4 linked regions of the Drosophila melanogaster genome follow. The protein of the gene in region 1 interacts with the protein of each later gene in a pairwise test. Each region holds a gene or a part of one and is shown on either strand. Other genes may lie near its edges.

Evidence for each region.
Region 2: the proteins of CG5938 (region 1) and sip1 interact in a two-hybrid assay, tested with the Drosophila melanogaster proteins (one large-scale study listed by BioGRID).
Region 3: the proteins of CG5938 (region 1) and OS9 interact in a two-hybrid assay, tested with the Drosophila melanogaster proteins (one large-scale study listed by BioGRID).
Region 4: the proteins of CG5938 (region 1) and CG15136 interact in a two-hybrid assay, tested with the Drosophila melanogaster proteins (one large-scale study listed by BioGRID).

The regions. Positions count from the first base shown.
Region 1 is NT_033777.3:27,271,415-27,279,927, reverse strand, and holds CG5938 (uncharacterized protein), read right to left. Parts: upstream 5,135-8,513; 5' UTR 4,917-5,134; intron 4,752-4,916; exon of another isoform or gene 4,538-4,751; 5' UTR 4,271-4,537; coding exon 4,143-4,270; intron 3,636-4,142; coding exon 3,425-3,635; intron 3,359-3,424; coding exon 3,191-3,358; 3' UTR 2,510-3,190; downstream 1-2,509. Other genes in the region: mrt (martik), read left to right, coding at 1-750, 825-2,338; CG5934 (uncharacterized protein), read right to left, coding at 5,613-5,965, 6,043-6,097; l(3)mbt (lethal (3) malignant brain tumor), read left to right, coding at 8,155-8,513.
Region 2 is NT_033779.5:5,717,064-5,725,814, reverse strand, and holds sip1 (septin interacting protein 1), read right to left. Parts: upstream 4,765-8,751; 5' UTR 4,680-4,764; coding exon 4,571-4,679; intron 4,520-4,570; coding exon 2,241-4,519; intron 2,178-2,240; coding exon 2,046-2,177; 3' UTR 1,871-2,045; downstream 1-1,870. Other genes in the region: CG11030 (uncharacterized protein), read right to left, coding at 587-595; CG11149 (uncharacterized protein), read left to right, coding at 5,853-6,304, 6,385-7,414; CG34011 (uncharacterized protein), read right to left, coding at 7,748-8,130, 8,188-8,341, 8,401-8,486, 8,594-8,726. UniProt on the Drosophila melanogaster protein: May be involved in pre-mRNA splicing.
Region 3 is NT_033779.5:19,963,979-19,970,932, reverse strand, and holds OS9 (Olfactory-specific 9), read left to right. Parts: upstream 1-4,422; 5' UTR 4,423-4,456; coding exon 4,457-4,513; intron 4,514-4,572; coding exon 4,573-5,115; 3' UTR 5,116-5,269; downstream 5,270-6,954. Other genes in the region: CG43861 (uncharacterized protein), read left to right, coding at 1-413, 693-896; Hf (helical factor), read left to right, coding at 3,279-3,359, 3,423-3,986; CG10680 (uncharacterized protein), read right to left, coding at 5,652-5,870, 5,923-6,093, 6,158-6,289, 6,352-6,507, 6,568-6,594, 6,652-6,702.
Region 4 is NT_033779.5:17,045,244-17,052,055, forward strand, and holds CG15136 (uncharacterized protein), read right to left. Parts: upstream 3,039-6,812; 5' UTR 2,886-3,038; intron 2,826-2,885; exon of another isoform or gene 2,823-2,825; 5' UTR 2,739-2,822; coding exon 2,528-2,738; intron 2,367-2,527; coding exon 2,005-2,366; 3' UTR 1,918-2,004; downstream 1-1,917.

The sequences.
Region 1 (8,513 bases):
CCAACAGCTCCTCCTCTCCGCCGACGACGGTGGCCGCTCACACGAAGATGCGGCTGCTAAGTAAAGTGGAGCACAACATGCGTCAGAGCCAAGGTCACATCCAGAGCAACCAGAGCAACGCGAGCGGCCAGGACATCAACCACCTCCTGCACACGGCCTCCACGGGCAACGGCGTGGTGGACGATGTCGACGGACTGCTGACGCCCATGCGCATTAAGGCGCACATGTCGCCACCCTACTCCGCCGGCAGTTCGGTGAAGAGCGATTCCCTCGGCTATAGCCCTCGGCCGGAACGCAACCTGTGGAGCCGGGCCGAAATGCTGGAGATGCTGAGCATCATGCAGAACCTGAACGCCCTCGAGCAGCTAAACGACCGGAACATGAAGAGCGAGCAGGTCTTCCGGCAGATCGAAGAGGTGATGCGCAGCAAGGGCTTCGTGAAGAAGTCCAGCATTCAGATCTGGACAAAGTGGAAGTTCCTCAAGTCCACGTACAACACAACAACGCGACATGGTACGGGTGTGCCCAAGGTGGTGCCGGAGGAGGTTTACCGCGTGCTCTGCCGGATGTTAAGTGATACAAATCATGGCGGCGGCAACAGCAATGTCAACGGCAGCCTTAGTGAATGCGGCAATTCGATGGACAGTTCCAAGACGGCGGGCGATGATAACAAGGAGGATATTCTCGGAGTGGAGCATCCCATATTCGGCTTCCGACTGGGACCCATTAAACCCGAGCCAATTGATATAGGTGAGTGGGATTGTCAAAATGAAAGTATGTTAAGAGAGTCATTACTGAAAACACGTACCATTCTATATTTGCAGGCTATGAGACGACCGAAAAACATGATATGGTGTCCGAGCCCGACATGGAGTCGTTCGACTACGAGGCAGGAAGCTCCCATGCCGACAACGGCGACCAGGAGGATGTGCCCCACTTGCCGTTTATAGTGTCCGTTAAACATGAACCCGACGTGGATCTGGGCATGGACACCACCAACACACCGCCGCCCACAGCGCCAGCCTCGCCTTCACCGCCACCAGTAACTGTGGATGACACCGAAGATGACAGCGTTTACTCATCCACGCCGGTGGCACCACCTCCCCTGCGTGTGGCCTCCTTTGCCAAGGGCGAGTTGCGACGACCCACCCACGGCATACTGCAGATCGACCGCCCGCCACCGACGCTCACCAAGATGGGACAGCAGCAGATACCCAATCCGGGCCAGATGAGCCGGTCCGTGCCGCTTCAGAGCACCAGCAGCATAAACTTTGTCCACCCACACAGCAAGTTAATGTTACCGAGAAGGCAGAATCCGAATAGCAGTCAGTCCGGGCTGCGACTGCCCAGGGATATCAGTGTCCAGTCGACAGGAATGCGTATGAAGACGGTGCCAATGAGGGACACGGGCTACTCGCTGCGTCCGGATCGAATGACTCACGACATCGATCAGTCCACGTCCAGTCCACCGCAGTCGCCGTCCACAATGTCCAGTCTCTTGGGTCGCGGGCCGCCACCGAAGTATCAGATAGCTGGTCAGCAAGCAGGTGCTTCCACCAGCAGGCAGGCCCACATGATGTCTTCCCACCAGCTGACACCGGTGCAGCACCAACAGCTCCAGCCGCGAAAGCGTCGATTGGGCCAAAGTCCGGTGATGGGAATGCCCGTGCCGGTGAAACTGCAGCGCAGCAGTAATATGTACGGCTCAGCTCCGAAAGATATCCGATCTCACCCTGCGGTTGGCGAGGAGAGCAAAAAGAAGTCCAGCGAGGAGGAGACCAAGCAGCGCAGAAAGCGTCAGGACGAGCTGCTGGCCAAGGAACTCAGCCAACTGGCTTCTGCCATGCGCACGGCACAGAAGGAGATGTTGCAAGACTTCTTCCTCCAACAGAAGGAGATCGCACGGCGGGAGCACGTGTTCCAGATGAAGCAGGACTCGTTGGTAATGCGGACGCTGCGCAGACAAACAGATGCGCTGCTGAGAACAGCCAACGAGCTGGTCAGTGGAGTTTCCGAGGCAGCTAAAATGGAGCCCGACGATAAGGAAGGTGTCATTCCCGAAACTCAAATGCCGTTCGAGCCAGAAACCGAGCTTCAGACTCCGGAAAGCGAGGAGGACAATGAAAATGGAGAAGGGTATGCTGGCGATGATGTGCAGGAAACTATGGAAGAGCCAGATTATGAAGACAATGAAGATGATGATTATGAGCACGATGAGGACGAGGAAGACGAAGGCGACTACGACGAGAACATGGCCAATGACAGCGACCTGGAAATGTCCAATCTAGCCATGTCCGAGGGCTCCAACAATGCCGAAATCATTAGCGGAGGGCACTAGATGGCTATCTCCTAACTTCCTAACACATCGCCAAGTATTACCCCAAAAAGACAAACACCATTGTTAATACCGATTCATTCCAATCGCATTCCTTAAGCTATATATACTAACCATATATATATATATATATATTCCTAGAGCCAGACCCGCGCATTGTTAAAAGACTTGATTATATTTAAGCATTAATACATAAATGAAACCTAAAGTAAATTAAAATGTATTTATTGTTCATCAACCGTCTATGCCCCAAAGTGCTGTAAAGTTATTGAAACCACAAAATACTTAGGTAACCATATGATATATATCAAAATATATATGTACCTTGTACATTACATGAACAGAATATGTGTGAATTTGTTCGGGTATCGAAAGTGGGCTTTGAATTCTTAGTTGAAAAATATTCATTTACTATGAATGCAGTTAGAAAAACACATTTTCGAAATCACTGTAAATTTCCTAACACGAAATTTATTAAATAGTATTGCATTAGTTTGGGAAACAAATAAGAATTTACAACTAAACGAAAAACAGAAAAAGTAGAGCGCCCTAAAGTTACGAGAAATCAAACTTACCGCCTAGAGTTCTTGCAAAATTTTGTTATAAACCGAACATGAAATAGTAGCTAGCTTAAAATGACAATCTGCGAGTGCACTAAATTAGTTAATGCCCATTGTGTGTGCTGTGCCTGCGCCTGTCCTGTCCTATGGATTAGTGTACCTATACTCTCTGCTGATTAGCACGATCCGTAAACGCCTAAAGCAAAGTGTTAGCAGCTAGTGTTTATTTTACAATTACCATTACGACAACCCCGCGACCCTGTGATACCACGCCCCTCCTCCTCCACGACGGCACTTAGTCGGGCCGGTAGATGGGCGTTTTGGGTATAAATTCAATTAAAATAACATACTCCATCATGGAATTGGAATCACATTGTTGCTTATGCAGTCGCCAGTGCAGGCCCAGCTTATGATATAGATGATTGTTCTCCCATTCGAACAGCTTGTCCAGTGTGAGTTGTGTCTACAAAATTGAAAAAGGATTTAGGCTAGGCTCATGACCGATTTTCTAGATTAATCTAAGGCTTACGCGTTTGCTGAGACAGATGACGGGCCAGAGGGAACAACCGAGCGTGCAGCAACAGCAGACGCAGCCGCAGAAGAGCCATTTGACGTTGACGGGCAGGGATTTCTTCAGCACTCCGTTGATCCGGCCCACCGTCGCCTTGAACTCCTCGGGAGCCACGCGCGACAGCAGACCGCAGGGAAACTCCGCGTTGAAGCGGTTGCTTAGCCCAAATCTGCAAGTGTGCGTGTGAAAAAGTTACAATTCGTGTGCAGTGCAAGTGCAATTATTCTGCCCTGACTCATTTCTTATGCAACCTTCCTGTAATTGACTGCTGGGCAGCAAAGGCGTTCTCCCCCAAAAATGGGGTCAAATAGCAGGGCAGGGCCTAGATCGAAATTGGGTGGCGTTAACCTTGAACTACTTTTTAAATAGGTTCGTTCATGCAGACAATGTTACAGACAATGCTGAAAGCATACACCTATCATTTCTGTATCTGTATAATATTCTATAAGATAGATATTCTATATGCAGATAATCTAAAGGATCTCTGTGGCAACCTACCCTTTATAAAATGAAATACGTAGTTCATTGTTTCACTAAAGATTACTATGGCGTTAAAAGTTCTTACTTTGCCTTCAATTGTGCTGATAATGGTGTTGTCTTACTGAATGAGGTTATACCCTTAACTACTCCAGCTATCTGTTTTCCCGCTTATCACTCAGTGCATAGACCCACTTACACCGTCATGTTGCCCGCGCCGCGTATGATGATGGGCTCCTGGACCGGCGCCACCGTTTGGTCCTGGAAGTGCTCCAGCTCGTCCAGCTGCTCATCCTCGTAGATGGCGTCGAAGTCGGAGAAGGACATGGTTGGCCGTGCTTATTATGGAGGGCTGATGGGGCGATGTGGTGAGAACGGATGACTAGGTGACCAAGGGGAACAGAGAAGAGCAGCGGACGCTCCAGCTGTACCGAGTGGGAGGTCAAAACATGTTGCTGTCTGCCGTCGCTGGCGGGGATCCTGGGTGTTCCTTTAGAGCTGTCCTTCAATCGCAGATTGACACTGCTGCTTCCGCCATAAAATGTCGACGTCTGTCGCGCTTCCCAGTGATGCGATTATGACGTCTGGCCTCCTCTGTTGACGCAAATGCGTGGGCGAAGCGGTCGGCGGATGGCGGGGCGTTGGTGAGTGGCATTCAAAATAAAGTGCATATTAAAAAACAATAAATGCAACGCATGTGCATGTGTGTGTGTGTGTGGGGGGTCTTTCACAACACTGGTCTCTGTCTGCACTTTGTTGTTGCTTTTATCCACAATTGCGAGCGGGAGGGGAAGATACAAAATAGAAACTGCAAATACAAAGGAAGGCCAACTAAATGTTTGCGTTCCATTAATGGCCACTAAAATTGGAATTTCCTACTCAAACAAACATTGTTAAAAGCAAAAACCACAGCGCAAATGTTTTGTTTTTCCCCACACACACACAGCTAGAGCACCAAGTCACACACACACACCTTGCAGTGTATTTCGCAATCACTTTTGTTGCACGTTCAACTGTTCTGGTGTAAGCACGATCACTTTTCTTGTTTTTCCTATAGTTTTGGACTGGTTTTAAAATGTTCCGAGCAGAGACTACGACTTATACACGCTTTCTACGTTATTCGAATACGAAAAGTCACTGCTCAATTTGTTGTTGCACGACCACGACGAACAGCTGGCCGACCAAAGTTGCCAGGCCGTTGTGTAGGTAGGCAGTTCAAAATTTTCAAATAAAATGTGAGCAGGTGTTTTTCTAATAATTGCTAAGATTTATACAAATAAATACATTTTATTATTTAATTAAAAATGTCACTCTGTTGTAAGTTTTGCAATTCGATCATGGCTATTTAGTAAAGCGACCTCTAAAAGCAGCTGGATTGGCAGTGCTGCCATCCCGTTTTCCTTTTCAAATTCTTAAATTGCGTGGGGTATTATTGATTTATTAATTATCTATATAAATTAATTACTTCTATGTATAAAATACATAGCGCGCCATAAGCTTAAGCCTAAACAAATACAAATTCGACAATCGGGCAACTGAAATAACATTGCAATAGCTTAATTTCGAGTGTTACAGATTAAAATATACATGTAGCTCTAGCGTGAACGAGAAGGCATATTTGAGAAGGTTTTTGGTTTCCAGTACCGGTGGGTCGATTGACTATAGAAGATTACTTCTTTTTGGCCGCACTGGGACTGGTGGACTGGAACACCGATGAGGCCGACATCAGGTTCTCGATGTACTGGCCGAGCACCTGGTTCTCGGAGCGCAGCTTCAGATTTTCCTCCTTGACGGAATCGACGCGTTGCGACAGGTCGTCCAGGGTGTTCTGCAGCTCCAGGACCTGTGTGATGAGGCGGGCCTTCTCCTCCCGATCGTCCTGGGCCATTTCCATGGCCTCCAGCGAATTGTGCGATGAATCTGGCGTGGAACTGCGGTTGGTGAACGATGAACGCAACGAGTCCATGGACCTCCCACTGGGCATTCGTCCCGTCGCCGGTGGCTCGTCGTCCGGAATGACCACTGCGTTTTTGGGGGGGATTAGCAATTGATAACATCATCACTCGGGACTCCACCCACTCCCTCCAGTTTTCACTTACCCTGTGGATCCTCGTCCATGTTGGGAATGCTGTCGTCATTGTTTAACAGGGACATGGCTGGCAGTGTTCAGGGGTACTCTTTATTCTATAAAACTTAAACTCTATTCACTTTTGCCAAATTTCTCTTAACAATTGACACGAAAATAAAACTACCCTTTGGGAAGTTGGCCAACACTAGCTGCTGGCGCTGCCGTTGTTTAGTATGAGCGGCGTTTTCCAGTACTAACAGAAGTTTAAGGAGAAGAAGAAGAAGCTGTATTTTGTAATCTTTGAAGCAATTAAATATTGATAAAGTTGCTAAGTTAATGTGCGGTTTTAAATATATACAACTATTCAGAGGACAAACTCTTTTCGTTAAAATTGTTCCGAGAAGGTAAAAAGCTCTGTTGGATATTGCGAAATTTTCCTCTGCACTTATTTTACAATATCAGGTACATGTAAAGCCATCGCTTGATATTAATTTAAGCATTTAAGGCTGCTAAGTAGCGTATTTCCAAAACAGTTAACACCAAACAAGAAAGGCTTCGTTTATTTACCATTTTATTTCCGCCTTTTCAAAATAACCGACATCGGGCGCACACGAATCGGCAACCAGAGTTGCCACCTGAGCCGTTCGATCATAGAAATTAAAATACACACATGCTTTTGCAGTTTTTAATATTGTTGAACGACAGAACGCTTCCGTTTCGATGGCACTGCGTAATGTTTCGAGCTGCTTTAGTTGGCTTACCTGGTGAAAAATGTGCTTAAATTGTTAAGATTTTCCGCCCGATTTCGCTGGCCATTCGTTTTTGCCTGCATTTACGAGGTCGAACGAGCAGTAACACCCTCGCAGCAACAAACTGCAGTTCAATCGAATCATACGGTTAAAGCAGGTAAGCCTACATATCCTGGCCCACCTTTCGACACTCGCGACCTGACTTTCTGAACTTCTATCATTCCAGCCGTGTTCGGCAAGCCAACAGCATCCCGATATCCTGGTTTCCGCCTCCTCCGCGGCTGTACATTTCATTTCGCTCCGCGGGCAAAAACGAATCGCGTGCGGGTAAGTCAACAGTTGGATCCTGGCAGCGGAACCTGTAGACTCTCTGAAAGTGAAAAATGAAGACGCATTCCATGGGCCCTAGACCAAATTCCCTGGCCAGTGGTTCATCCGAACCAAGATAAGAGGTTTCAGTTATTGTGACATTGGGTGGGCTGCTACGTAACATGGGGCTGGGAGATCGGATCGGTTTAGCCATCAAGGGCTCGTAAATGTGGTCGTGAGATGGGATTCAAAGCCCAGAGGAGCTATTTTTAGGTTCTAGTCGTTTTTGAGATAACATAAATCTTTGGGCAGCATAACTAAAAATGGTATCAAAATTCAATATACGTGCAGTGTGGCCGTACTGGGGCAACGAGGTTTTGCCCAATGGCCGCGGGTAAATTGTAAAAACAAAAAAAAAAAAAAAGCAAGCGCAATAAACAGAAATATTAAGGTAGGATAACACAGGTATTGTAACTAATGACTTTAAGCTGCTAGATATTTCCCTTTTTATTGGGACAGATGGCGATTGGCTATTAACAGCGAATATGCATACAAGTTGCAAAGCAACTGCTACCTGCTAGCTATTTTCTGATTACCATGCTTTTGCAGCTTTAAAATCCTTATATAGCATCCAAAACTAAATCCAACTTAACCTTTTTCAGGTAATAACAAACCCAAAGTAACCGTAAATATTTAAAACTAATTCGCAATCTGTGCATTTAAATACCAAATGTTGGTATATTATCAGAACCGAGAAACACGAACAATGAGAGCAAGGAAACGCGCGAAACAATAACTTTAATTCAAAAACTTAACAATTTCTGCGATTTTGATTAAGAGAAAAGTGATTGATGAATATACGGATATAAAGCACAAATCGCGCGATCGAGAACATAACAAATTGCCAAATAGTTTTGTGAAAAGGGGGAATACAAAAAAATACTAACGCCGGTGTGGAGTGTAAAATGCCAAAAACTTTTGTGCGCCTCAACGTACAAACATTGTAAAGACAAGAATATAACTTCGATTTCCGCTGGTTAAAAAAGAAATCAAAAATCCATAGCTCTAAGCATAAACGGCTCAAAATGCTGCCATTGTCGATGGCCAGTGCGGAGGCCAAGCAGCTCCAGCGCAATATATCATTGTCCATGTCGCCAGCGAATGGAGGAGTCATCTCACCATCTACCGCGAATTGCAATGGTGTTGCCTCTGCCTCCGGCGGAAATCCAAATCCCAACAGCCTCCTCACACTAGCTCCGCGCAAGGAGGAGCTACGCTTCCTGCCCCTGGCGCCCATGGGCGGCAACAAGACCTGCAACATCACCATCAGCAATGTCCAGCCAATGAAATCCAAACTAAAGTCGGTCAACATAGTGCCAAATTCCATAAAGTCCGCTGGAGCTGGCGCCACTGTCGGATCAGCAGATGCTCCCCTGTTCCAGCT
Region 2 (8,751 bases), on another chromosome or scaffold:
GGTTGTGCGTGATGGCGTCAAAAGGTCAGTGGCAGGGTGGAATATCATTGAATTGGAAACTAGAAATGAATTTTTTTTCGAAACCAACATAGATTTACGTAGATTGATGGCAAATAAATAATACTAGCACATGGATTTAGTGTTCAAGATATTAAAGTGTATAAAATTAATTTCGTGTAAAACTTAAAATTATACCAAACTGGCAATCGAGGATAATGCGCTTAAGATGCTGATATACCACAAAATCTGACGTTAAATAATCGTTTCGATTATCATAAGCAGTATTTTTAGGGTTTAAAGAAAGGATATACATTTTTGATGGATAGTATTCCATTTTATAAAAAGCGGTTTTGATTATTATTTAGTATAAATAAAGACCGTACTGTAAAAAACTGTAGCTGAATCTAGTGTATTTAGAATAATACAACAAATTATAACTAGCAAATAACTAGCAAACTTAACACCTGTATCTTAGTAGTGATAGATGGATATAATATTTTCATTATGTTATGTTCAGGAATATTATTGAACAACCATTTAAGCTTCTTTGATATAGTCGTGCTTTAAAATTAAATATATTACACACCTGCACCATTTTGATGTCCTTTTGCGGGTGTCCCGTTAGTGAGTCCTCCTAATCCAACGGATATTTCCGTGCCGGTTGTTCGGCGAGCGGTAAATTTAGCAGTGGGAGCTGTTAGAGCGAGACGCCAGCAAAACAAACGAAACCAGCTACAACAACTGAACTTAAGACGCGAGAGAGTGGCGCACGTGGTGGAATCACTTTTGTTTTAGTTGCGCTTTTATTGCACCGCCTGTCGAATTCATTGAATTTGGGGGGGAATACGCACGCACACACGCACTCACGACTGCATTGGCGAATAGTGTGGGCGAAGTGCAACGAAAGAGCGGGAGAAGCGAAACGAAAGACACGCGGTTTCAATTTGCTAACAGTGCCTATCGCGATAGGAGTGCTTGTGTCTTGGTTTTACAATTAATTGTATTGCACTACGCGAGCTTCAGTTGACTGCACCGTTTCGAACCGCATCTGGCTCACTACTTGCTTGCTTTGCGTGCGCCAAACGAACCGAACGCGAACTCAGTCAGTTTATTCCTATTTCCACGACGCGTTCTAGAGTCAGCTGCGATGGCCAGAGGTGGCAGCGGGCCGATGACAAGCCGATACTATCGATGTATTTATCTATCTATCCATCATCGTTGCCCGGCTGCGGATATCGATTAGTTGCATGGGCCGCTCCGGTTTTTCAAACATTATTTCCATATTTTTGTAAAAAAAGTTAAATGAGAAGAAAATAATAATAATAATAATAATAATGTATAATAAATGTGCGTCAAATTAGCGACGATAGCGGAACGGTGGAAATTGGAACTCGGGGACTTTTTTTTTGCGAATTGTGTCCCGCTGATCTAAACTACCGTGTCCCTATAGGCTAATAGGCTAAGCCTAATTATATAATGATCCTGAAAAATGCTTTAAAAATTATCCACCGATTTCCAGAAATCCGCCTCACAGCGAAGGAGTTTAAATTTATTTAATAATGCCGCCTTCTCTAGCACCACAGCCAATCCATGTCATAAACCACATTATTAACAATCAAATTTCGACTTTAAAGATTTATTAATCGGTTCAACCAAAGACACTAAAGATACTTCTAGTGTACTTCTACTTCAACGCGCACGTTACAAACCCATGCTCCCACAAAATAAATATATACCGAAAAATACTGCCAGTATATTTACATCTTAAATTCATGGAGCATGCAGCTCGGACCCAAACCGTGGTGAAAAACTTGGATGTAATCATATCAATTTCAAAAATATTCAAATCCGTTTCAATTTTATACAGAATAATATATCTGATTACTTTTACATATATATTTAGACATTTGCTTATATCTGCAGAGCCATCTCATCATACAATCACCTTATATTACAAACTTATTAGGGAACAGCAAGAGCTAAGCTTCTGATCCAATCCAATTAAACATTTTCCAAGCCAATTAAACATTTTCGCAGCTATTTATTTAAAGAATTCCCGTTTGAGAGCGTTCTAGCAGATGATTTAGCGACACCGGCTTCCAGTTGCTGAAGCTGCCATCGCTGACCATGCAGACGTGACGATCGATGTAGCAAAACAGCTTTCCCACACGATAAATCTGTAAATGCAATAAATCTATTAGTATATAACGCTCTGTGGTCGAAAATGGATTAACAGTCACCTGTTTGCCCATCTCCCGTCGCCCTGGCAGAGGAGCGAAGATGATTCCCAAGTCGGCGCATTGCTGCGATACCAACTCTTTGAACTCCAGCTGAGCGGGCGGATGAATCAGGTCCATCATTATGACTGGAGCCGGAGGAACTGGAGGCGGGGGCGTGGGCGTCACCGTGGGCTGCAGCAGGGTATCGCTGGCTCTGTGCATAATTTCCAGTGCTCGCCGCAGATGCTCTTTAACGCTGGGCTCGCGCAGAAGCGGTTCGCTCAACATGCTCTTCCAGCCGGTGTACCATCGCGAGATCTCCGCGTAGTCCGGCGACTGATTCAGCCAGACGACGAGCACTTGCATCCAGCGCGGGAAGAAGTGTCTGTCCAGTAGTTGGGCCATGTACATGGGATCGATGAGCTCGTGCCACTCCCATACCTGCTGCCACAGCTCCAGGTCCTGGTGCATTGGATTGATGATGAGCTCGCCTAGAGTCGCCTGCAGTTTGGGCACTATGTACCGCTGCAGGAACTCTTGCATCTCTTCCTCGGGGAAGGCCTTCTGCCAGGGCGTAAGCATGGCTCTGGCTGATCGGTCATGCGGTGACCAGGCGCGCAATGCTATACCCAATTTGCTGCGGATCTGAGGATAGACGGCCTCCTCCAGCTTGCTGCCCAAGATGGCATGCCACGGCAGCACCCAACTGTCGATCGGAACGGTGTCGGTGAGCGGATCCCACTCCTGGACACCAGCCACCAGTCGTGGCAGAACCAGTTGCTCGAGAACCGAATCCAAGACCCAGCTAGGTAGCAGGGGTGCCCAGGCATCTAGGAGTGAAGCCATTGGCGGATGCTCCTTCGGCTGCCATGCGGCAGCGCTGGACCGAAACGAAGGCATCACGCCGGCCCAGATGAGCGAGGAGTACGGATCGAAGACGTTGCGGGGCTGCTGCTCTGCTGCATCTCCTTGCTGGAGCATGCCGCGCCATTTCTTGATGAGTGGCAGCGGTTCCGTTGGGTTTTCCAGTGGCTGCCACTGAACTAGTTCTCGCTTCAGGAGCGGCGCTATTACACCGGCTGCCAGATCTGCAAGTCCGAACTCATGGAATTCGGCAGCGTAGTCCACGAGCAGCTCCCGAAAGAGTCGTTCAGCCTGAGGTAAACTCAAGTCTGGATTATCGATTAACCGCTCCACGCGCTCCAACGATTCCTCCAGCGTGCGTATGTGGTTTCGTTCTAGCTGGACTATCTCCTCCAGTTTCCGGTGCTCGCTTTCCAGCGCTGCCTGCTGGCTGGAACACTCGCGTTCCTGGTTGTCGATGGCGATGATCTGCTGCTCGCACTGGCTAACCAAGAGCTGGAGGTTGTGCGTCAGCTCGGGCATGGCAAAAACGCAGGCGGGAGCGGATCCCTTTTCCGTCGCCTCCGTGTCGTAGAGCGTCTCCTCTGGCGTAATTTTTGCCTGTCCCAAGGCATGATAGCCACTCAGCACTCGTTTCTCTGGGCCTGTCATATCGATCACCCGCACATTGCCCAGTTTCTTGCTTAGCTTCTCCGACAGTAGGTGGCCGGACGTGTGACCCTTGGCAATCACCTCCTCCACGGACTTGTAGTAGTAGCGCTTACCCTGCCGCTCCATTGGTTCGGCGCCACCGGCTGAGCCCTTTCGCCACTTGTTCAGCTGGTCTTTGAACTCTTTCGCCTCGCGCACGTCCTCATCCACTTTGATGCTCTTGTTCGTCTTTCCTCCGATGCTTGCCGCAGTTTCGGGTCCATAGGCGCCGATAGCACCTCTGCCCTTGCGGACATGGGCTTGCACAGGATGCGAAATGCCCTGCAGATCTTTGCCCAAACCCTTGCCAGGCTCATAGCCCATTTGAAGGAGTAGCTTAGCTCCAATGCCGCGTGTATGCTGCTCCCAGGCGCCCACGTTGCGCTCGCTGGCGATGTGGGAGCGATGCTGAAATGTGGTGCTTGGCTGTTTCCGGCTCAGCGTTGGCCTCTCCTCTTCTGATGAGCTGTTGGAGCTGCCCGGATCGTTCTGGCCGAAGGCTGGCCGTCCGCTGGCGGCGGAATCGTCGCTCTCCTCGCCCTGGTCAGCCTCTGCTCCCTCTTTTTGCGATCCTTTCTCATCATCGGCTTGGAGCGCCTTCTTCTTCTTTTTGCCCGCCTGCTGAATGCCGCCGGCCACAAAATTGACGGGCATGGTGTAGTCTTTGGGTTTACGGGCGGCGCGCCCCCTTCTCTTAGTTCCGCCCTCGCCACCACTCTCCTCCTCGCTGTCATCCGCCCAAATACCTACAGAAAGTTCGTTTACAAACAAATTCCGGCATGTATTTCAATACATACCGTAGATCTGTTGGTGCCTGCTCTGGCGGCCTCGGGGCCGATTGATGTTGAACTCATTGTCCAGATCGTAGTCCGTTATCTCGAAACGCTCGTAATCGTTGTCCGACATCCTGGCTAGACGTGTATATATTACTTACAGCAGAAACTGAAACTTTTGTGAATGTAAACAAACGCACCATTGACAATAGGGATGGCCCTAAATTAGCAATTTTATCGATAAGAAAATCGATACAAAAGTACTAAATACTAACTTTAGTACACTATTAGTATCGCTTATCGGCGCCAAAATAAATTTAAATTTTTTGACAATTGAAAACCACAACTAATTGACTCAATTACCGAACTATTATTAGTTTAGTAAGTTCATTCCTAACAGAATGAGCTCCCTTTTAATTAGCATAAGTACGCAGTATGAAATACTTGAGAATCCGATTTCAAAAGAAAACTATTTTTAGAAAATTTTTTTAAAGGTATTTGATTATAGTGATAAGATATTAAAATCGATAAAGTAAGAAATACATGTTTATGCCGCCTAATCGTCTGTTGACCATATATGTATTTGGCTAACACTCGATTAGCGCTATCAATTGGTTACGTCTACTGAATTGTTATGATAAGGATAGGAAAATACGACAATATTGATAACTAGACGGATAAGAAAATCACTTGAACTATGATAGCTTCGCGGGAACTTCAGTAATTTTAGTCTGTTTCCATTATTCATCGCCGAATGTTGTCTGTCTCGTTCGTGAAATAACTTTTAATCTTAACAGAAAAAAATCCCTCAAACAATTTGCGTCGTTTCGTACGTCATAAAATGGGTTAATCTTTAATGTGCAAACTCTTGTCGATGGAAATGAAAGTGTCAGCCGGTAAAGTGAAAAGTTGTTCTCTGTGTATGGTACCATAAATGTCACCGTTTTTATCAGAGTACGTAAATCATGTTTAGTTTTACTGGGTAAAAGGAGGTAGTCATCTTCATTGTTGGGCAGCCCCATTATCAGAACATTATAAAACATCGATGAACCCCCTTGCATGCTACCACATTACATGGAATCTTATCGGATGAGTACAGCACTAATTTCAGTTCATACAATAGGCCCAGTAAATTAGACATAACTACAGACAAAAAGCTCAGTCGCTGCCATAAACTCTTCTTTCGATTTCCATATCCATTTTCAACGGAATTATATCAATATTTCTGTTTCCGTTCACAGGTCAATAAGTTCTTTGTGTTCTGTTAGTTAAGGAGTTCCTGTGAATCAATGTTCTCGAAATCAGCATGGCGACCATAAGTTTTTGCAATAGGAAATATGTCCGTCTGTGGCCAGTGCTCATACTGTTCAATGTGGCACTCCTGCTGGTTTGGAGGAACCTGCAGCAGGCCCAGAAACTGGCCGCATCTTCTAATACTGGTGGGCAAAAGTCGGTAGGACTTTTGCTGTCCAACGAGTCGAATCCCTCACGTTTTTCTGCAAACTTCCATCTCGCCAATGATCAGCATCCGAAAATAATCCGGCGAGAGGACTCCGCTCGCACCAAGGAATTGCGATCATTGCTCAAGTGCCGCGACCGATCGCTCCGTTTCGAGAGGCTTCAGCACGGAGAGTTCTGGCTGCTTCAGAATCTTGTCATGGGACGAAAGAGTCGGGAAGTCGGCTGTGCCGAGTCCGTGACGTATACCACCAACGGGGACTTTACGTTCTTCGATAATCTGGAAATGGTGGTATCACGGTGAGTGCTCTTTTATCTAATAAACACTTAATAGCAATCTATAAAGATTTCTTTGCTAACTTAATTTACTTATTTTCCAGTTGGCGTGCTCCAGTTAGTTTTGCCATCCACACTCCAGGTTATGATCTTAACACCACACTGGATGCCATTCGGTATGTGCGAAACTGTTTGCCGGAGAGCGATAGCATCAAGGACTGGGTCTCCTTTCACGTGTACTTCCCAAATCAGCACATGCCGGAATACGTGCCATATGACGAGGCCGAGGTACTAATGTATCCGCACATGTGCACCCTGGCCAATGGATCGTTGGTATCGCCGCTCTACACGCAAATCCCAACCACGGATAGCTACAAGTCAAGGGCCAACCTCACGTACCCCATCAATGTGGGCAGGAATATAGCCAGGCTGGCGACCAACACCCACTTCATCTTTGCCTGCGACATCGAGCTGTATCCCAGTGTGGGCTTCGTCGACCAATTCCTGGACATGGTGGCCAGAAACCACAGTGTCCTTGCACTGGATCCGCGGCAACGCAGAAGGGTGTATCCTCTACCCGTTTTCGAGATCGAAACGGGCGCCAAAGTGCCGGTAGACAAGGACGAATTGTTGGCCCTCTATCGAAAGCAGCAGGCGCAGGTGTTTCACCTGAAGCTTTGCCCCACATGCCACACTATTCCTGGCCAAGAAGAGTGGCTCAATCGAACCTCTCGAGCCGATGACCATCTGCACGTGTTTAGCAAGGCGCTGCGAAAATGGAAGTTCCGAGCCTGGGAGCCCTTCTATGTAAGCGATAACACGGAGCCACTGTTCGACGAACGCGTCACGTGGGAGGGTCAGTCGAACAAGCGCATACAGGTGAGTTACTACTGTAGTCAAGTTTCCGTTTCACAGTGCAACCTTTTATTGCAGAACTATGCTATGTGCCTTTTGGACTACGAATACCATGTCTTGAGTCCCGCATTTCTAGTGCACAGTCCTGGGATCAAGCAATCCAGCAAAGCTGACTCCACTCGTCTTCAATACGCGAAGGAAATGACTAAATTTATTAAGAATAAAATCGAGCCCGAATATCGTGTGCTCTTCGGAAAGAACTCAGCCTGCAAGACGTGACATTACTTTGATAATATAACAAATAATGTAATTAATGAATTTATGCCCCATCTAAGTTATGCCTTTATAGGAAAAAGAGTCTATTCTTTTTACTACTTAAACCGAGTAGTATGTATATTTTGAACTTAATGCTCACTGCTTGCTATTCATCAATGTGAAAATATATTATATTTTATACAATTAGATAATAAGACCTAATGGATACAATTCCCTATACCTTGGGAAACTGATTGCTCCGCTGTTTCATGTAGTACAATATATAGAACATAAATTTTAAATTAAATTTTTAAATGCATTTTAAATTCTTCAGCAAAATGGCTTTCACATAATTGTTTAGATTGCAACTCTTTCCTTGTGTAGATAGTCTTCTTTGATGGCATTGCGTAGTAAAACTTTTGACAAAAGCTCCTGCCGCTGAAAAAATTCAGAGGACTCTTCATAATTTATATTTTGTGGAACGTTGTCATCAGTTTTTTCATCCTGCCACCACTTCGATTGTGGCAAATCCCACAATTTTTGCCCGGCTTTTGGCATTACGTAAATAATTATTGGCTGTTGTGAGATCGGATTAATAGATGCCATTTGCTTGGATTGCACTCCGTTTGTTACGGGATTCAAAGGATCTGGACCGTAAAGTCGTATATAACGTTGACTCCGCACTAGGAACATTATTTGCACGAAGGCAATCAACGCCAATGTGTCGTAGGCCACAAGCACTGAAAAAAAAAACTGTTATCTTACACAAATGAGGCTAATCGAATTTAGTTGCTTACTTGCGTAAAATGAAAGGGCAAGGGTCATCAGAATTAAGGTGGCCAATGGCACAATGTGTCTGGCAATCCGTAGCGTTATAATGACGAGTACAACTACTTGTACTGTGTAAATGAACTCGAAGATAGCCAATGGTACAACGTGATATTTCTTAAGCTGCATTGAAAATAATACATACTTGTTAAAATACTATATATAAAGAATTAAAAGCAGACCTTATATGCTCCATAAGCCGCCAAAACACAAGTTGCAATGTAGCAAAAACTGTAGAGTTGCATAAACACCATGAGCTCCTTGGAATCTGTAAGGCATAAAAGGATATAATTCACAGATTTGTTTGTTATTTTAAGGTGATTAGAGTTTCTATAGTCTTGAACCAGAATATTTGTACATATTAAAGATGCTTACAATGTTCCGCCCAGGTGACAGACTCCTTAACAATCCTGCTGGTTTTGTAATAGGTTTCCAGAATGTTGATGAAGAAATACAGGAAAGTTGTTCCGTTGGCGAATATCAGCCACATGAAGATGGTGTTTTTTATCTGAAAATGAGAGCTGCTCGTATTG
Region 3 (6,954 bases), on another chromosome or scaffold:
ATGCAATCGAGACGAATCACAACAAGTACGGAGCGGCCAGGCGGAACAACTGCTTCCTGCGGCGTCCCGATATCCTGGAAACGGTATATTCGGTCGAGGAGGATCCCGAACCCACCACGGACGTGGCAGAGAAGCGGGACAAGTTCAAGAACCGCTCCGACAAGGCTCTCAGCTCCAGCTCGACGGAGGGTCAGATAGACGCCGCCAGTCCCTCGACCGCAGACAAAGCCAAAGATTCATCGCCCGTCGACGGCGGATCCACCATTCCAAGACGCCAACTGGGAGCCCTCAAAAGATCTCCCAGCCACGACTCTCCGTGCACCACACTCAGTGTCAAGGTCCCCCAGCTGCAGCCACCATCTCCTACACCATCGACACAAGGAGTCCAGGATCCGCCCAACGGAAAAACCCAGGTAACTGAAAAGTAAAAGATTAAACTGCAAAATGTTGCACTTAAATTTTAAATTTCAGGATAATGTTGAGCCAATGGAGGGAATTCCCATATTCTTAGATTGCGAAATAGACTTATAGCGTTTATTAAATTATGAAACTTTACTAGAGAAAAGACTTTCTGTTTTCCTGCATAGCACTAAATCTTTGAATTAAATGTATTAAACGAATCTTTGGCTTTTCCAATGAAGCATAGATCTTTCTATCTTATATGCATAGTTAATGTATATATCCTTTTCCAGGTCACCAACTACAACCGGGTTATGCTCAACCATCGCTCGGTGACGAAGCCCAAGGACGTCAAGTACAAGCGCATCAACAAGGCGAAGTCCAAGAGTCTGGAGGAGCTGCGAGGGCGCCTCAAGAACCTGGTGGAGCGGCCTCCTGGCCTGGACGGCGGCTACTCCGGCGGCATGATGCCGCAGGCGGCGCAGTCATATGCGTGACATTCGCAGCAGCCGGACGGAGAGTCCCAGAGGTCAACGGAGGGGGTAAAGAACGGCCAGCCGGAGGCGGCGATGGAACCTCGTCCGCGGAGGGAGAGCGCGGAGCCAATGACCTCGACCTCGGCCGCGACCTCGACCTCGACTTCGATCTCCGCCACCCAGGAGCCGCAGGGCAGCAGACATGGCTTTCCCAAGAGGTCGCTGACCTTGCCACGCATCCTGGTGCCCCGGCAATCGGCAGCGGGACTGGCGGGCTCGAGCGGCGGCGGCGGTGGTGGGCGTGGCGGCTTCTAGCAATTAAAGAAATTTTTCATACGCAATTGTGATAAAAAGTAAACACGTTTTCTTCCTCCGTCTCTGTAGTGCCGACTTCAGTTGCTTTAACATGATTCTCTTTTGTAACATTTGTTTCCTTGACATTTATCCTGCGCCTAGTTTGGTAAACTATGCATTTACTTAAGTTATAGCTTAAGTTTTTCATAAAACGGAACTGCATTTTGACTTAACATTACATATAGTTTCTCACAAAACAAATAAATCATTTTAAAAACATATTTTTCTGTCTATGATTTTCACACTTTACAAGAAGCGTATGAAAAATTTCGCCAACCGTAAGTCAGATATATCTTACAAAAGAACGGAAAGTGTACTCGAGGACAATATTTCCAAATCCCAGATGTTGAATGGTGAGTAGCTCCAGTCAGTCCCAGAATCGTGGGTGAAAATAGGCTAGAAAGGATATTATAAAAATTTACTCAAGATATTACTAAATAGCCCGTAAGAACAAATGAATATTTATGTTTTAAGCAAAGTGTTAATCGTTAATATTACCTATATACACATTTCTGCAACGTTTAAGAGCTTCTCTGAATCTTCGTTTACATACATATATAAAGCATTTCGACATGCTTTTGAAAACTATACAACCAAAACAATGTTAGAACATACTTCTCTATTGATATTCGACCTAGTTGTAAGCTCTACTCCATGGACTGTCTTCTAGATAACAGAATTTACAATTGATCATAAATATATATGAGTATATTTTCTTACTAACTATTACTAGCCATTTATAAGTATTTAAGAACTTTAGCTAGCATAAGATAGAAGCATATTATTTTTGCATTTTGTCACGATTATTTTATAACTTGTTATCGACTATTGGGGTCTGCATGGCCCCAATGTCCTGAATGTCAGATGTACCTTGAGAACTCGTAAAATACTGTAAAGATTTAATCCAAATATCAGCGTTAGTATAAGCAACTGAATTAGAATCTCCTTAGGTGTGAACTACGACAATGGCTGCTATCAGGTCTCAATTATAAAGAATATTATATATATATATATATATTTAAAAGCCAAATCAGTACAATGCCTGGACAACTGCAACACAAAAAGCTATGTATATATGCGAAATAACTTATATCAAATATATATCAATATGCAACTTGGTGTTTCAGTGATAGTCCTACTACAATGTGTACCTACATATGTGTGTTATCTCGAAATGCGGATTAAAATTGTTCAAAACAAAAAATTTTCAGTATTCAACTATAAAGTATGCATTCCTAAGTCAATTGGACGTTAATTTAATTATTTTAAGCTGATTGTTGAAAATGCCAGTGCATTTGCCAACAATCGCGGGTAAAGCGTATTATTCTGAACGTAAATGTAATAAGACTTATGTATAAGTACTTTTGCAGAGATACAAAATGAAATAGTTATAAGGACGTTTATCGCATGCCAAACGATCCTTGATCCTTGATATTTTTTGATTTTACACAACTTTAAAAGATAATATAGAAAATATGGTTATTGTACAAATTATTAAGGATGTTTTGGTAATCCAGACTCTTTTCTTTACAATTAAATTTATTTAAAAACACTTTTTCGATTTTACCAACCTTTAGAGATCAGATTGAAAATGTTGTAAGTGTACAAAAGAATGAGCATATTTTGATTATCCGGACGACTTTCTTCCCGTTACAAGCCAATTTACAAATGCTGAATATGAATATATATATACATATAGTCCGGATCAATATGAGAATGCAGTAGCTTGCTAATAACCTAAGTATATGCTAAGATGTGTAATTTACAAATCTAATTGTTAATGTTACTCGTGTGTATGCAGATTACTACTAACATTCGACTAGACGGCATCTTTTTTTCCTAGCTAGCTTAAATAGAAAACCACGAACGAACATTAATGGCCATTAATTTGCTCACTCTACGAAATTCGTATAAACAGTACTTGAGATATTTTCTACTTGCGCTTAATAAAACAAACAAAACCTAAGCCAGTCGAGATTGTTTGGGTGGGGAGACCGTTTGGCATCCGTCCGACATGATCAGTCTAAATCGAGCAGCGATCAGAGGAGCATGGCGAGATCAGGGCGCAGTTCGAGGTTTCTTATCGGCGGCAGCACTTGCTGTTCGATGCTTCTGGGTCTTATCTGTCTGGTGAGTCGGTGAGTCGGCAGTGGATTAGATAAGGAACTTATTGATTTTCCTCTCGATTGCCAGGCTCTGGCGGACTCATCCCAAGTGAAAGAACGCAGCCCTACCATCTTGGTGAGAAATACAATTCAAGCGGTGGAGAGGCTCTTCAATCAGGTGCTCTACACGACCATCGAAGATGCCCGCCAACGACTACCGGGTCTTCCGGCCAACGAAACCATCGATCGGCAGTACTTCGAGGAGCTCGACCTGGTTGCTGGGAACGAGGACTATTACAGCACTGCATTCTATATCTTCGCCTGGATAAACAGCGACCTCATGTACCATAAGACTCCCGATAAGTTGCTCGTCGAGGTTCTTCCCGGCGAGAAGATCGCCATCCGCAGATTCTTCGCCAAGGTCAAGCCGCATCTTACCAAGTATCTGCGACTCAGTCGACAGGACAGGTCGGAATTGGTTTCCAACGTCACCCAGTTGGCCACCGAAACCAAGGACAGTCTGATCACAACCTTCTTGGAGTTTCCCCAGAACCTGAAGAGCCAACTTCCTGAGCTCCAGCTAATGGACTACACCAAATTGGCTCAGGCTTTGGTGCAGGGGGTGGCCAGTGGTATATGGACGAAGGCTTAAGATTAATAGCTAAATATTTAAACAATATCATAGAATTAGAAAGTGTTTGTAATAAAATGAGAAATGTACTTCAAAGAACAATATTCGGAATCTATTTATACGAGGACTTTATTCCTGAAAAATGCCGTTTAACTTCCGGAAAATTTCCGACTGTCTGATCAACATGTGTAGATATCGAGAACTGATACTTTAAAGCAATAAAGATATTATCGTGACTTGGAACTATATACGACTTTGTAATAACAAAATGCATGGTTTCCACTACCCACTAATTAATATACGAAGGGGCAGCACTCGTTCTTATCACGCTCACCGATTTCTGAAGTCTGATTACAGTCTATACGTTGTCTCACGATCAGTGGGTATTCATTACAGAGGAGGCGTTCTCCCATTTTGTATAAAAATTGTGAATTTAAGAGAGGGAATATAAAAGGAATCAGTTCGATAGAGACTAGATACAGTTTCAAATCATGGCCAGCAGACTAACTTGGACTTTTCTAGTCGCTGTAGCTGCCCTCCAGCTTTCGGTAAGATCCTTAGATTTGCTTATATCCTTTTGGAATCAACAGAAACCTTTAACTTTCAGCTTGCAGCGCCTCTCATTAACAAATGGCAGTTACAATTCGAAGTGTCCAATGAACTCTTTCAAATGGTAACAGACGCCATGGAACAGCTACGACATGTCTTTCAATTGGTCATCGACGAGGCCGAACTCATTTTACCACCAAACTCCAAGGGACACATTCTCAGGGAGCTTAAGGACTTCGTCGCGGCCTTGGACACCCTGGACTTCGATGATTCATTCGAGCTGAACAGACTGGAGGATGCTCTTGAGGAACTGGAAAGCATCATTTCGATTGCAGGCAGCAAAGAATTCGAATCGGAAGCTGACGAGGTTGTCGTTCAGCTATTCATACAGCACGGAGTTGAGGACCTGGAGCAGATCCTGGAAAGAAACTTGGAAACTACTCTGAAAATCGTAGAGCAGAAGGTGGAGAAATACATGAGCACATGGTCCGACAGTCGGTTGGCCAGGAACGCGGCGATGGTCAAGCAGTTTAATGACTTTAAGAACGAAAAGGATGTCTATGAGAAGCTGGACAAGTTAACCAACTCTGATTTCATTTGAATAAACATATCATGTTTCAAGTACATTTAAGTTTAAACCAAATAACTACAGATACATAGTCCGAACGTATATATTATTTCCAGAAACTGCCTTGCAAATATCAAAACCAGTAGTCCAGAGTTCATGTTTTGTATTAGCACGCTCGCCGGAAGCTAAAATTTGATTACATATTGCAGCTGATTTAACAATCAATGAGCATATAATAAATACGCTAGTAAGTGTTTACTACTTAGTGCAGGTATGACGTAAGAAATGTGGAATTCATTTTACAAAGGTATTGAATACCTTAATATACCTTTTTTAGATTTGTAAGCTGTCAGGTTTCAATAGCTTTGAAAGTTTTACTGACTTTCTATTCAATACAATTGTTATTTAGTCTGATAAATAAACCGTGCGGAAAGTAAAATAACTGATTATTTGTAATGCCAAGAATCTTTACATTACACACAGACAAGTCAGTATAATCTCTAGCAGCCTTAACTAGTTGTTTTTGAGAACTCGGAACTTTCATTCATCAGCTTCTCTTAGGAAAGGTGTTAAAAGTTGCGATAAGATGATCCAAATCCATCCCGCGAGTCGAACACATCCCGCTCGATTTGGGGAGGTCCTCTTCCATCCGATGTGTAGCTATAGGATTCGCTCCGGTAAAAGTTGTTAGAAGAGCCCCCGGAACCAAGGGGACCACTTCTACCAGTCGGAATACTGGAACCACCGGCGATAAGGGGGATAATGGAACCACTGGATGGCATAGGTACCTGGAGAAGGTGTATTAGTTTTTTAGTTAGGAAAACGATTGCACAAGATTACCGGTCGAGATACAAAGGTTCCTAAGTTTTGATTGCGGAATGGGGAGTCAGGAATTGGTCGAATGCCTCTGCCACGGAAATCCGGGGAACTGGGAAAAGGTCTGTTGTCGAAGCCGCTGCCTCTGGGACCCACATTGTAATCGGTTTGGAATGCATTGTCATAGTTGGGTTGCTGAAATAGTTCAATCGTCAATCGGATTGTAATACTATGTGTAACTACTTATAAAAACACTTACACGAATGGGGAAACCGTTGGATCGGGGAGGGATCTGAGGATAAAACGGTCGAGGTTGGAAGGGGATAGGTCGGAGTGGAACGTCCTCCTCTTCGTAGGTGTCGGTCACCTCCTCCACTTCACCGCTAGATCTCTTCAAGGATAATAAATATATATTTATTTCCATTTATATTAAGTGTATTGGATGAGACTCACCTCTAGAAACTCGACATCGTTATTTGCTTCGGCCAGGGCAGAGCTGTTTCCGCCATTTAAGGATGATCTATTAGAAATAGGTTTGTTGCTCGATTTCGGACTCACTGGCTTGAAGAGATGCGTGGGAATGTTGATAGTTTCACGAGGCACCCTTAGCTGTGGATTATGGAATATTGCAAAGAAGATACTATCTAAATTGTTTGCTAGCAAACTTACCTTGGGATCCGGCAGAGTGTGGCATATCTGAAAATATAGAACTCATTGAAGCCTAAATTGTGGAACAAACCGATGAATAGTTACCCCCTGAGCGATGAACAGACAGCCCAGCAAAACGAATTGGAGCGGCAACATCTCGCAGATCTCGACTGACACTCACGTCTCGAACTTCCGACGATCGACAGAACTATGAGTTGACTGGGTGGAATGCGCTGCAATTAAATGCAACCACGATCCCAACCCGTTCGACTGGAAATCACCAAGGTGAGAGCGTCGGGGCCCGGGGTTATCAGCCTGGGGATTACACGATAGGGAAATCAGAAGCCCATAACTCAATCTCATATGCGCAAATCATCAATTATCATTTTCCCGAATCTAGGAGCCTTT
Region 4 (6,812 bases), on another chromosome or scaffold:
ATTTATTGCAGGCATTGTTTGCCCATATTCCTGTGTTGTCTATTTATTTGCCGCCTTCCGTTTTGTCATTGTGTTTATTTGGGACTTTCTTTTTCTGGCCCAATCCGTTCTGTTTTGTTTTGGTGATTTGAAATCGATGCATAAATAATGGTTTATGCCAGCGGCTTTGGTTTCTCCTGATTTTAACATTTCATGAGAGTCCCATACCGTGCGTTACGCAATGGGAATGTTATTATATATAATGTTTATCATATATAATGAAAAATAAATAAGTGAACACTACAATTTCTTGAATCGTAATATTCTTGTTGCAAAGTACTTATATTTTCGAAACGTACTGTCCTTCAGACGACGATAAGGGCGGAAAATCACAGAAATATGACAAACTTTTTCAATTGCACAATATACGGGCATAAATTTTATGCAATAAATAGCAACCTAAAACAAGCCAACAAAAAGGCTCGGAAAAAAGGACAAAGTTGCAGTCGAAAACGGGCTAAAACAAAAGATTGCCAAATCAACAATCAGGCAAAAGGGCGCGAAAGATCGTGAAAAGTTTTAGCCGCTTTCGTGACGTTTGCCAATTGCTGAATTCTCGATTCCAATGACAATCGCCCCAGGGCGAAACAACAACAACGGGGAGAGTAATAGTGGCAAAAACAAGGTGATGGCACGCCCACTTAGCCAGCTGCCAGTTCAACGCGCCCAAAAAGGGCAAAAGGAGCGAACGGGTTTCGTCGCTTACGTGACTTGTTTCATAAACAAACAGAAGGCGCAGAAAATTGGCACAAAATTGCCAAGCGAATCCTTGCCAAAGGACCAAAAATTGGGGGGCCCAGGTGTATGGTCCGGCACCTCCATTCGACTCCTTTTGCTCACATGTCCCGCTGACATTGAGCGGCGTGAAAGTTTCGCCCATGGAGAAGCTCCATTGGCAATTTGGCACTTTTGCATACGAGTTGGTAATTGTTTCCGCCAAGCATTTGTGCAGCTGCAGATGGGACTGCACTGCGTGTCCTTTTCGCCGCGCTTATCATTCAAAAGTCGTGGGCAGCTGCGTTATCCGTGGCTCGGGACATCAGACATCGGGGTACGGACAGCTCTAAATGAGACATTGCAAGGACACGAAAGTTTTCTCATTACTAGACACACACTCCAGCACCCAAACGCCTTATGAGTTTTCCTTCCTTATCCAAAAATTGAGTAAAACTAAAATAATCAAGAAACGAAAAAAATGAAAAGTTGTCGCCACTTTGCTAACAGACAATGCAAAAGTGTGCAGTCTAAGAAAATGTTCGAACTTTATTTGGACGAGTAAAAAAACGCTAGTTTAAATGAAAATTTAATTTGCATAGCCACTCGTATTTGAAAGTGAAGGTGTTTTTTAAATTCCACATGTTATTTTATTGAGTTTAAAAATTAGTTATTTAAGCCCGTACTATTTTCAGTGGTAGTTAAATCTGAAGGCAGTCCTGCTGCCATGCTACCCATAGACAGGTGAATCAAGCTTTCAGCTGCCATCCAGCGAGGAGAATTCTGCGTGCGGCAAAAGTTTTCATGCATATTCAACATCATTAGAAAGTCAGGACAAAGTAGCTGAAGGCAGAAAGGCAAGAGCCTTCGTGGAAAGTAAAACAAACCCGTTTAGGGCGCTAAAATGTAGGCTATAAATTATGTCATAGGTATAGTCGACCTTTCTCCACGGAGCTTCCTTTCTTCCAGTCTGCCGTAAGTGGGCTTGAAAGGAGTGCATTTAGAAAGTTCTGAAAAGCGTCTTAATTGCAACGACGTTGGAAAATACCTGTAGAATTTAATTCTTCGCGCTGGAAGCGTATTAAATTCAGAAAAAATGTAATTACTTACTAAAAGGGAAATCCCTTATAAGCACCTATGGTATAGGAAAAAAATACACAAATTGAGAGAGTAAGGAAGCAATTTACTGAGTTGCATGTAGGTGTGAAAACAAATGGAAAATAAATATATAAATTTGCCATTCCGTGGGACCTACATGACCAGACAGCACTTTTTGGCCGGTCTGGCGGAGTGGCGATTCTGAAAGCCATTCCTTTTTTCCTCATCTAAAGGTTCCTCCACATCACCCACAGTTTCGCGAACTTCCATTGCCTGGCTAACTGATGTGCTTCCTAGCTTGGGATCATAGGACTCGGCTCCGATATTCATGGCCTGGACTTCGTCAAACTCCAGTTCGCCAACCTCCTCCTCGCCAGGATCCAGGCTGTAAACGAAACCCGGATGGCGCAGACCCTGCTGCTGCTGGATGCTGGCCTCACGCCAGATGGACTCGTAACGGGGCTCGTAGCATATGTCCTCCGAGGTTGCCGTACTCCACCGGGTGTACGTAGATACTGCATGGGTATTAAATTTATAAATCCATCAGGAAATTAAAAAGAAATAAATAAATGCACAATACTAAAAACCTATGCAAGTCAAAGCATAATATATATAAAGGGCTTCAAAATACAATATATATTGTTTTAAATAAACATTATTTCCTTTCCGTACTTACACTCATCAAATAGCTTTTTGGCCACCTGGCTGGCCTTGAAGTCGGGCACAAACACAGGTGCGTTGGGGTTTAGGCGTCGGTCCAGCGGTCGGCTAACGACGGGGGGCGTGTCGCCCGCGGCGGGCGGAGGGCAGCTGCCAGGAGTCGAATGGGCGTCACCCACTTCCCCTGCAAGTTCGCTGGTCGATGCGGTGGCGGTGTCCTTCAACATGGTCAGCAGAGCACTTAACACTTGAATAGTTTTTCAAATCTACATTTGAGTTCCGGCCGGACGATTTCAAGTAGCTTTTCTATTCTGCTTAAATGCTCAGTTGACAATTATGGCAGGGCAAACTACCTGATTATTTGATTTTCTTACCGGTATTCAGTGCCAAATATTAATGAATGACCAAAGACAGCCGCTTCCAAAATATTTTGCCAAAACTTTGGTATTGGCCGATTTTTGCTATGAGGGTGTTTATCTCTCAACGTTTGTCTTCACGAAGTAATTTGTGTTCCTACTATTTTTAATGCTTGGCCTTTGAAATTTAATTGGATAAGTAATGAAAAGTCAACTACGATTAAAGCTACACTATTATTTACATACACAATTTATGATTGCAGAACGTACAACTCAATTAAATAGAAAACTATTTCAAAAAAAGTAAGTTAACCATGCTCCTTTGTCCCGATTCCTTGTAATTTCTTTGAAATGTCAAAGGTTATTTACCTCCATTCAATTTCTGTTAGATTGTTATTTTGAGGATTTATGGGTTTATCCATCTTATTGGGGCTTAACCCGAAAACTGCTTCAAATCCATGCATGCCATAATTCGATTTCATAAATTTGATTCCACTTTCAACTGTCATGTTTGCTCCGCTTTTCTCGTTGCAAATAAAGTTTGACTTTTAATTAAATGGCCGAACTTACAATAATTTTAATAAGCCGTATAAATAAATTATAACAAATTTCACACAAAGTGAGATAAAATTGCCTAAAACTCATCCTGACATTCCATCTTGCTGGTGCGTGTGTGTCAAATTTAATTTTGTGAATACCGCAAATTGACAAATATTTTCGTTTGGCCAACAAGAAGAAGACCAAAAGCACCCAGCACTCTAATTCAATCTGGCTGGTGTATTTTAATTGATTTGCGCTAAAATTTATTGATTTCATTTTGTCAACAGTTGTTGCCAGATGAACCGCAAAGAACGCCTGAAAACCTCAGACCCATTCACCCATTCAGCCATTTGCCCAACTTGAGCTCATTATGGCAGCTTCAGCCCCCTTGGAACCCAATATTTGCATTCATTTTGTGTGTGTGCTAATTTGCATGTGCGAGTGTGTTAAAACATAAATTAGTTGACTCTGCCGACACACCCACACAATCGAATAAAATAAAGAGAAAGGGGTTAGAGAAAGTTTCAACCGAGAACCGAGAATTTATTGCCAATTCATTGCATTCGCGCTGCTGTATCGAGCGATTTCGCTAACCGAACAAATAGCGGTTTTAACTGTTTTTAGTTAATTGCGCAAATTACTTGCGCTAATTTATTGGCCATTTTGTGGAATAGACAAGGTTTTTCAGCTTATAGGTTTAGTCCGACTAATTTGTTAGTTTCTGAAGGGATGTTTTTTTTTTTTTTGACTTCTTATTCTATACATTTTGTGTAAAAAAATACCATGTAGTTCTTCCTGTTTCAATAACACTATTAAGCCATTTGACAATTATCTTCGACAGTCATAAATCCGTTAAATTAAATAAAAGGCCAAAGTTTATTTAGCTACTCAATCAGGGACACAAACAACACTCAAATTGTTGGACAGTTTCAGATTCAAATGGCAAGCGGTGGTCGAAGGGCAAAGTAAATAGATGAAACGAAGTCTTCGCACTTTTGTAAAGTTGCTGCTCAGTGTTGGCGTATTTCCCTTGAAGGAGTAACGTATCATATCTTTTATTCAGCTTTGAATGAAGAAGTCATGTCAGAATATGCCTCAGATATAAACCGTTAATATAAAAACGAATAATATTAAATTGTATTATATTACATTATATTATTTGTGAAGGGAAAGTAGCCAAGATGACAGCTCTGGTCGCTCAGCAGTCAGTCAGTCACCCACTTGGTCAGTCACATGGGCTGCACATTCAAGTGTCACTGATTTGAGGATAAGCACTTCACAGGCAACTTGATAGCCCCCCAATCCGGACCCCCTCCATATATATATGTATATACATATATCTTTGTGTATGTATGTATGCTGTAGTGGCATTGGAGCGGTTGTGCCGTGTTCCGACGGGTTGCTTGGTTGCCTGGCCAGTCAGCCGTGGTCGGGAAATATCACAGCAGTACTCTCTCTCATTCGAGGGCCACTCGTGCAAAGCGAACTAATTTGAATGTATAAAATCAGCAGCACTGCCGGGAAGCCCCACAGGGACAGACATACATATCCGCAATAATATATATAAAGGGACAGCAGATAGACAAACTGACTGACTAACTGACTGGTCGAATGACTGGCCATGGAGAGTGATGAAAACAAAGGCCATCATTAAGCGTTCCATCTTTGAGCGGCTTTAATTGATGTGCGTTAAATCGTTGACAAACTTGATTAGGAAGGCCAAAAGGGGTTATTTTTTTATTTGTTAAATTGCATAAATAAATTTCATTAGGCTGTAAGTGTCTTGAGCTCAATTATGAAATAGAAATTCGTTTTTATACCAATTATACTGCAAATAGCTTTTCTTCTGTGTGAACAATTTCTTGGAAACTAACATTTAAACGAATTGAACGTACTATTAGAAATGAAATATTGAATATTATTTAGGTTTTTTTGTCATGCATCCAAATATAGTCTAGACTCTCATATTTGCTTTTAACCCTTTACCCACGTTTTCCCTAGATGTTCATTTGGTCCGTTAGACCCGCTTTTCCGACTTCCCATATTTTTTATCGCCCGCCTAAGCAAACACACATAGACAAGGTGTCCAAATTACTGCCGGTTGTTGGTGTAGTCTTGCCACATGTTTTTGCTGTTGCAGCAGGGTTGCTGGTGTCGTTGCTTGGTGTCAGTGTTGCCACCTTGTTGGCGAAAGCAACTGCAAAAACAAGAAAAGCTAGAAAAGTCTCTATAACCGAAGCAGAAACCACTCTTACCTAAAAAAAAACTAATTTTAAAAACGGCACTATAAACTTTGGAAAATATTAAAAAGAAGGTTTAAAACAATTATACATATATTTAAATCACTTTAAAGGCTATTAAAATGAAGATGGCTTTAAAAGATTAAAACTCCTGCTGTTAGGGTATAGGAAGAGAAAACAGCGACTCAAACAGTTGCAAATGTTGCATTTGCATGCATGGCCAGTCGGCAGCAAATTTCACCTGTCCCCTTGCACTCCTCTTCACACCCCAAACCATCGTCCTGGCCACATCCATCGGCTGGCCAGTTCGGGTGAGCGTTGTCGTTGCCATTTAGACAAGTGACATATGTGCCAGGCACAGGTGAAAGGGGCCGGAGAAAGGGGAGAAAGCGAACGAGAGAGACAGCTCATGCAACATGCAAAATAGTGTGTCAGAAAGGAAAGCCGACTCGTCTCTGTTTGCCCCCCGGACAGGCCACACGCCCCTTCTCACCTTCTCGCCACCCACCCAGATCTCCTGCATCCTGCAGAGAGGGAAAGGATGTCGCCGTCTCCATATGAGAATAGTGCCTGCAGTCCCGTATCAGAAAGCTTCCTAGTAAGTTTGCTCCCATATGAAGTTAGTCTTAATGATCTGCTATTGATCAAATTACAAAACTACTTCATAACTAGTTTGAATTTCTGTTTCAGTTTGAGTTGATTATTAAATAAAGGTATCCTTCTAAGGAGATGGCATGGATATCTACGTTACTTCGGCTTTCAGGCACTAGGATTAAAATATATATATATAAAAAACTTTAAAGATGTAAATGTGGGCTTAACAGTTTAGTATATATTTAATACATTTTTTTGCAATGCCACTGAGGAAAGTTGACGCTTTGGCAGTGTGCAAATTGCAGGAAGTAACGTACGCCAAACAAACAGGGCGACAAACAAACAAACGAGCAAAACTAAACAACAAACTCGTGTGCGAATCTTTAGTTTCGCCTCGTTTCTGTGTGAGAGTGTGGGCTTTTTTCGCAGCTGTTGGTCCTTGTTTTTGACACAGTTCAGGGGAGCAGTCAGCGTTATATTCGTGTCTTTCTTTTTGCCATTTTGCACTCTGCTCTGTTGTTGGCTTCCGCTTTTAGTTGCAATTAAACAAGCCAGTGCACCGCACAGACAG